Linked DNA regions of Danio rerio. The protein of the gene in region 1 purifies or fractionates together with the protein of each later gene. This does not show direct contact. Links are inferred from orthologs where the notes say so. Each region holds a gene or a part of one and is shown in the gene's direction. Other genes may lie near its edges.

Evidence for each region.
Region 2: the proteins of lats1 (region 1) and sav1 purify together in Homo sapiens (affinity purification with western blotting; 3 studies listed by BioGRID). This does not show direct contact. The link is inferred for Danio rerio from reciprocal best matches to the Homo sapiens genes LATS1 and SAV1.

Annotation. Positions count from the first base shown.
Region 1 is NC_133195.1:1,289,802-1,293,630, reverse strand, and holds part of lats1 (serine/threonine-protein kinase LATS1), read left to right. Parts: intron 1-1,705; coding exon 1,706-1,888; intron 1,889-2,100; coding exon 2,101-2,207; intron 2,208-3,829. UniProt on the Homo sapiens protein: Negative regulator of YAP1 in the Hippo signaling pathway that plays a pivotal role in organ size control and tumor suppression by restricting proliferation and promoting apoptosis.
Region 2 is NC_133188.1:40,261,558-40,266,140, reverse strand, and holds the start of sav1 (protein salvador homolog 1), read left to right. Parts: upstream 1-1,714; 5' UTR 1,715-2,038; coding exon 2,039-2,132; intron 2,133-4,129; coding exon 4,130-4,583. UniProt on the Homo sapiens protein: Regulator of STK3/MST2 and STK4/MST1 in the Hippo signaling pathway which plays a pivotal role in organ size control and tumor suppression by restricting proliferation and promoting apoptosis.

The DNA of each region.
Region 1 (3,829 bases):
GTAGAGACAGGACAATCACCAGCAACTAGAGCCGCGCCTTTATTAAGAGGAGACGAGCAGCGAATCTGGATCTCAGCGTTTGCAGATGAGAACAGCTCTCAGGTAAACAATAATCCTCCTTAGACACGTAAGTTATTGTTGTCGAGCGTCGCATACACTGTTAATCCACACGTGACTCCAGCTGCGCTCTCACAGAGAGAAAATGAAAACAAAACTTCACTGCAGCAAACTATAAAAGCAACACTTCACGCTTGTTTTGCCAACACAACGTGGCGTCTCTGTCGTCTAAACACTGTGACAGTAATGAATATTAATGAAGTTGCACAATAGAGCGCGCTGATTGGTTTGAACCAAGCTTTACTCATGCATTAATGCAGCACACTGTAAGACGTAATAAGACTCACTCTGGCACAGACGTCCAGTCTGCACGCTGGAATACACGCTATTATGTCATGACCGTGACGCAGCTTCAAAAATTCGTTTCAAACCGGAAATACGAATTTGCTTGAAATAACGCAAAACAACCAATTTACACTTTTTAGTGAAATATAGGTGTCCTAATAGTGTTTTTAGCAGTGTGGGACACATATACCACTGTCAACAGCTCAACACATGTGTTTTGGTGTTTCGTGACCCTTAAACATTTTTAAAATTTCAGTACCGTTTGGTACCGAACTTGATACTTTTGACAACACTACTACAAACATGCTAATTCATGCTAGAAACTTGGTAGCAATGTTAATTCACTACAAATATCTTGATTTCTCTCGCGCTTTTACAATGTAGATTGTGTCAAAGCAGCTGAACACAGATGTTCTCGTAAACTGAAGCTGTGTCAGTCCAGTTATCAGAGTTCAGTTCAGTGTGGTTTAATGTTCACTGCTGAAAGCCTAAACACTGAAGAGCAAATCCATCCATGCGCAGCTCCACAAGTCCCAAACCAAGCAAGCCAGTGGCGACAACATACCATGGAATTTTGCGACTGACCAATCAGAACCCAGTATTTCAGACAGCCGTATAATTGTAAAGGAATGATCTATATTTCTGTTTTTGTTCATGTCTGTCGACAGAGATCAGCTACAGGTGTGTGCTGCATCTCTATTAATAATGCTTCCCTATGATATTCATTTAATCATTTAAAACTAAATAAAAAAATGTTTCCCAGTTATGGGTTGCAGCTAGAAGGGCATCCACTGCGTAAAACAAATGCTGGATAAGTTGGCGGTTCATTCCGCTGTGGCGACCCCCAGTTTAATAAAGGGACTAAGCTGAAAATGAATGAATGAAAAAATGTTTAAAAAGAAAGTAAACAAACTTCTCAGACTGTCATCTGTGTGCTTTCTGTTATTGCTGCTTATGCGGTCATATAGCCCAGAACACGTGCACACTCACTTGCATTTTTAATTTTAGGAGGAGTTAAATTTACATATGTGGTGTCAACAAGCAAAATACACCAGAATAAATTGTACATTTAGTTATTAATGATTATACCTCATATGATCATTTAAAATCATTCATGTCAATATTTAAGGTAAACATATTTACTTAGTGTTTATTTACAGCTGTGCACATTCTCCTGTCATTTTATTTTTATAGATCACAACCTTTGCGTGTTGTATGCACATTTCCACCCCGGTTTGTAAATAAGAGCTCGGGTGTAAAAAACAGGTCTGGATGTTGACTTGCGGTGTGTGTGTGTCGTCAGGTGATCATGTGCGTCAGGACAGCATGGACTTCAGTATGGAGTGGGAAGATTCCGCAAACTGCCGCTGCGGGGATCGCCTGAAGCCCCTGGAGCGCAGAGCGGCTAGACAACACCAGCGCTGCCTGGCACACTCTCTAGTGGGAACGCCCAATTACATCGCACCCGAGGTTCTGCTGCGCACCGGTATGAGCCGCACATTACAGCCGAACACTCAGTTATTCGCCCTCCTGTGAAATTTAGACCCTTTTTCAAATATTTCCCAAGAGATGTCTAGCAGAGCAAGGACATTTTTCACACTATCTCCTGTTATGATTTAGGGTAGAGAAAGAATTAGAAAAAGTTGTATTACTTTAGAACATGGTTTGTTTTGCTTGATAAATTGTTTTGAATCCTAGGCTACACGCAGCTGTGTGATTGGTGGAGTGTTGGCGTTATCCTCTATGAGATGGTCGTCGGTCAGCCTCCGTTTCTGGCCACAACTCCTCTGGAGACGCAGATGAAGGTGAGTTCTCCTGATGAGTTCAACTCCAATCTTAATTAAACACAGATAAACAAACAAAATCAACGAATGCGCAAGTAAATCCCAATGAAGCCCCCGTATAGATTTGTACTCTGATTTGAACACATCATGGCATTTCGAAATGGAGGTTTTTATTATTAAGGGAAAACTACTTAGCCCGGAGTGAAAAGTGTTTGAATGGTTTTGGAGTGGTCTGGTCAAAGTCCTGACCTGAATCAAATTGAGATGCGTGACCTTAGAAAGGTGGTTCCTCCTTAGCACTGTGACAGACTCATAGCAGGTGATCAAAACGCTTGATTGAGGGTTACAAAGTTTCACTCAGGGCTCTGTAGAATAGTATTTTGGTTTTCCCTTAATAGTAAAAATCTTTATTTTAAACTGCATGACGTGTTCAAATCTGGCAGTCAGTTATAGGCATGGGCCGGTGTAAGAATCTGATGGTATGATAACCTTGGATAAAAACATCACGATGTCACAGTATTGTGATTTCTGCTCTAATATATACTCTTTTTAAATGTCTGAGTAAAAACAGGGTTTTTGCAGGTTTCATCACATCAAATTTAAGACTTTTAAAGACCTTTTTAAGACCATTATCAATGAAATTTCAGACTATCACTGGGCAAAACACTAATACTTTTCTGTTATAATCAGTGGAATTTTTTTACTTGCCCAATTAAAATTAAAATTCAGTTATTTATTTAAATAATTTGTCAAACTCTCTATATATTTTTATTAGTACAACAATTCTTTTAAAAAAGACAAGTTTTAAAAGCTAGAATAAACAAAATTTATGCACAAAATAAATTTATTTTTTTTAAATGTAATTTTGTTTTCTAATGTTCAATAAATTTTCAGAATTCTCTAAATCAAGATTAATATTTATTTAGAGGGTAACTACACCTTTAACTTCTAGATTATTTTAATCTAGAATAATCTATATATAAAAACAGTATTTTTTGGTGTCATTTATTTATCTGAGACTCACATTGAGATACTAATCTACAAGTCTTCTGAAAATCAAAGCAAAACAAAATACTTTTCACAAATGCAATGTAGCATGAACAAAAAATATTATAGCAGTGAGAAATATCAAAAATATTAAATTAAAGACAATCAAAATGCCTCAGTTTTAAAGCTATAATAAACAACATTTATAAATGTGTGCATTAAAGCATGAAAACACGGAGAACTTGTAAACAAATCGTAAGGATGTAATGAAGACAATTAAACCATATTGCTAAATAGTTAATTTTAACTTTGTTAAACATTTTTTAGATGGATTTGTTGGTTGTACTAATAAGCTTTACATGGACAATTAGTGAAAATTATGACCTGTTTAAAAGTATTTAAGACCCACAACAGCACATTTCAGTGAATTTTTTTTGTGAGTTTTTGAAATTTAGGACATTTTAACACTCCGGGGACACCCTGAAAAAACGAAAACTTTTTTTCCCCCTTTAAACACAATATATTTTATTTTGAGATGCATTTAAAATATTTTGGAGCAGTAAACATGTGAGGCCGCTCTCTTCATTAGTTTCAGAAACACTATCATTTTTTTTTACAATTTAAAATAACATCTTTGGATATTTTGTTTTGCTGGA
Region 2 (4,583 bases), on another chromosome or scaffold:
CTCTAGCATTGTTTTATGTTTATATAAATATATATATTCATTCATTCATTCGTTTTCTTTTCGGCTTAGTCCCTTTATTAATCTGGGGTCGCCACAGCGGAATGAACTGCCAACTTATTCTGCATATGTTTTGCGCAGTGGATGCCCTTCCTGCTGCAACCCATCACTGGGAAACATCCATACACACCCATTCACTACGAACAGTACAGCTTACCCAATTCACCTGTACCATGTCTTTGGACTTGTGGGGGAAACCGGAGCACCCAGAGGAAACCCACGCAAACACAGGGACAACATGCAAACTCTACACAGAAAAGCCAACTGACCTAGCCAGGATTCAAACCACCGACTTTCTTGCTGAGGCGATTGTGCTACCCACTGCAACACCGTGCTGCCTATATAAATATATAGAGATCTTTTAAAAATATATATGTTAGGATTTATTAGTTTGTGTTTGAGTAAAATGCTAATATTTTATTCTGTAAGATACATTTGACATTTATTCCAAAGTTAAAATAAATAAATATTTATTTGTGTAGGCCTATTTGATAACGTAAAAATGTAAATCAACTAAAAATTACTTTGCCAGTATTACAAATGTGTTAATTTGCTGTTAATTAAAATCAGAGTTATTCTATCAAATATGTTTTGAGATTAAAACTTTGGTATTTAAAAATGAATATTTAAAATATATATATTTAAAAATTCTCTAAATTATATTTATTCCCTTTACTTCTGCTTAGTCCTTTTAATTATCAAGGTTTGCCACAGCAGAATGAACCGCCAACTTATCCAGCAAATGTTACGCAGCGGATGCCCTTCCAGCCGCAAATCAGCTCTTGGAAACACCCATACACTCACATTTACACTGATACACTACAGCCATTATTCAATTCACCTGTACCGCATGTTTTTGGACGGTGAGGGAAACCGGAGCACCTGGAGGTAACCCACGCCAACACGGGGAGAACATACAAACTCCACACAGAAATGCCAACTGGCCCAGAGCTCAAACCAGCAACCTTTTTACTGTGAGGCGACAAAGCTAACCACTGAGCCACCGTGAAGCCCATTATAAATAACATTTTAAATTTAAAAATAAAAAGTAATCAGGTTCCAAAATAAACAAATAGTGTGTTTTACTCAAACACGTAAATGGTAAATACAGAGACACTGGGCTTGGCCATGGGGTCACTTGATTTCTCTGAAGGTTTCTCAAAAAATGTTTGTTCAAAAAAGAAAATTCATTCATTTGTGGGGTTTTAGGTCCTATTTTGTACATTTATCTGACAACGCAGCACTTTTATCCTTCAAATTAACCTTACATGTTAAATAAACCATCGCATATCTGTCCTGTAAACCTTAAATATGTGCTAGAAAAAAAGTTCGAGTCAAATATTTCCCACAATGCTTTGCTCCCTGAGGATCTGGCTTGCGGCAGATCTGATCTAGGATCAGGGTAAGGTGAGGGAGCGATCCAGAGAGAGTTGATCTAGGATCAGGCGGTTAAAGACACTTATGGGCGCGGGTAAACTGGTATTATTGAAATATGTGGACTCTTTTAGAGTGACTAATAAACATTACTGAATCCGACTATAAAGTATGCTGATCTGAAGTGAGGCTCGGGTCTAAACAACTGACCTGAGATCAGGCTGCGGCGCGAGATCCAGTAAGAGCTGATCAGGGATCAGCAGGAGATGTGGAGGGCTGGGTTGGGTTGGACATTCAGCTGGTAAAAGTTTTCGTGCGCTTTTCTCTGGGTGTTGTTTGGACAGCGCTCGGGGGAGACTAACGTTATTTAATCGTCGGAAAGAGTTCGTAATGTTCGACTAAACACCGAAAACTGCCAAACGTCCACTAAACGCAAACGAATGGCCAGTTTTGTGCTTGTTTTCAGACTGTAGCCATGATGACTCCAAATTAGCTATCGGGCTAAACGCTCCGAAATGGACTCGGTTTCGCGTGTCAGTGCCAACCTGGATCCGGATTTCAGGATGAAACCGAAGTCTAATCGGTCCAGAGTCGATTCGGATTAACAATGCTCTCCAGAAAGAAGAGTAAAAACGAAGCGTCCAAACCACCCGAAGTTCAGGGCAAATATGTGAAGAAAGAAACGTCCCCTCTTCTGAGAAGTGAGTAATTTTAGTCAATCTGCCAAACAAATCCCCAAAATATAAAAATGGCAAACTAAATATCCTACATTGTTATATAATGTAGTCATTACACCGTGTTTGAAATCAGAACCCTGAGAGTAAAACACAATTTTAAGTGCATAAGGCTTTCAATAAGTAACATAATTCTCTTTAACAATTAGCCAGCACAATGTGTACAGTCACAACTATCAACCTAATAGACCTGTATTATTATAGTCCTGTTTATACGTTTTGAATTAATCAAAAGATAATGTGGCATTGCTCATATTTAATACTTTAATCTAAAACCATTTTCACTTACCACTAGCATATGTTGTCATTAGTTTAAAATGTCATATCTTTTTATTTACTTTAAATACAAAGGTCCAGAAGTAGAATGTTGTTGCTTTAACGTTACCCAGTTTAAGAAAATTATTCTTTAAAGAACACCTTAATATTTTGCTAATAATTATTTTTAAACTGACTGAAATTTCGGAAATCTTCACACAGCAGTAACACAGTATATTATTAAACATAATTGTTCAATATGGTAATACTGTCATTGTATTTGTTGCCAAATTTCGGATCAAATTGTCAAAACGGCATAATTGAATGGCATCAAAAGAGAGACTAATTCATCAGTCAGTAATCAAAACAGCAAGATGTTAACAAATGTGTTTTGTAGAAATCAGACTATCTTCAATTTTATGTTTTATCTTGAAATGTGTTTAAAGTGATGTTTAGAAGACATGGAAAATAATTGTAGTTTAGAAAATCTATATGCTTAAAAATTGTCTTGTATGTTTGTTTAGTATCTTATTCTAGACATTTTTAGTGTAATATTATAAACCTATATCGGAAATTTAAAGGTATAGCTTTTATGTTACTCTCAGGCCACTTGATGATCTTTAAGTAGACTTTATTTCTTCAGGAAAACATTAAAGAAGATTTTTAGCTGAAAATCATAAAATGCTAATAAAAGGTCCACCATCACTTTGAGAATAAAAAAATAAAAAAAACAATATACAGACAAAATAAAATTAATACCTTTGGCTTCTGACGATACACTGATATCTTACTGTATGAAGCTGAAATAATCTCCTAGTGCAAGAAACTGAACATTATTTAAATGTTTTTAATCCACACAAAGGAAGATATTTAAAAGAATGTCAGGAAAAAATTGGAAAAGTAAACATAATGGGTGTAAATATGCTACGAGATCTGTTTAGTTACTGACATTCTTCCAAATACATTCATTTGCAGACCTGTCGCCAGCCTATTGAAACGAGTGGTACTTTTTAATGAAAATTTGACCTTTTTTGCAGTTATTTTCCTCATTTTCTATTCAATTATGCGTTTTAGTGACTTTTTAAGAACTAATCTTTGCTGGATCAGCTTGATGGATGGTAATCATAACCACACTATTTTGATGCACAAAAAAATATTTACTACAATTTTGTCCAAAGTGCCCACCATAGTATTTTACTACGAAGTGTTTATTTACAAGCTTGGATATAAATTGTAAGTTAATCCAGTTTTATAAATAGTGTTATGAGATTAGTGTTTAACATACAAATTTATTATCATCCATCATTAAAAAAATAGGAATCTGGTAAAACTTGTTTTAAAATAAAAACTATAGCCTGTGGGCAAATAAATACTTTATTAAAATAAATACTTTATTAAAATTATTTAAGTCTTAAAGACTTCTTCTGTGTATAATTTTCACAATTTATGATAACATAGCAGTGAAAATGGGATAAATTAGCTCATTTGGGGGTCAAATTTTGGACTTTGTCAGTAGCAGGTTTGTCTTTTGAACCACCCAAACCCCCCTTGGCTACAGGCCTGATTTGTGTTCAGGAAAACAAAGATTTTCATATGGGATTGGACAAATGATGAGTAATAATGACAGATGTTTTATTTTAGAGTGAACTATCCCTTAAAGTATGCATTGATCCACTTACTCCAGGTTTCCCCCCATTGTTTGTTCTCAGATTTGATGCCCTCATTTATCCGCCATCCAACGTTCCTTCGACGCGAACCTCCATTAGTGGAGCCGGTTTCGGCTGGTGTGCCTGGTCCCGGTCCCGGTCCGTACACCACTGGATCTGTTGGAGATGTTAGCGGCCCTAAGAGTTTCCTGCGCAATGCTCCTCCACGGACCCCGCTAGAGGTTTCACGCAGAGAGAGTCACCGTCTGTCTGCCCCGCCACATCTTCATCGTGATTACTCCCCTTCCTCACCATCCTACATCAGCGATGCCAGTTCTGTAACAGAGAACGGAGACAACGGCCCGTATTACTATCCTCCAGAACCATACTACAATAACCAACCCAGACGAGCACGCAGACCAGACCACTTTAATGAGAACTACAGATACTATGACCACAATGAACTCAACTTCCCACGAAACCCAGGACAGCCCCAGACGCCTCAGCCACACAGCCG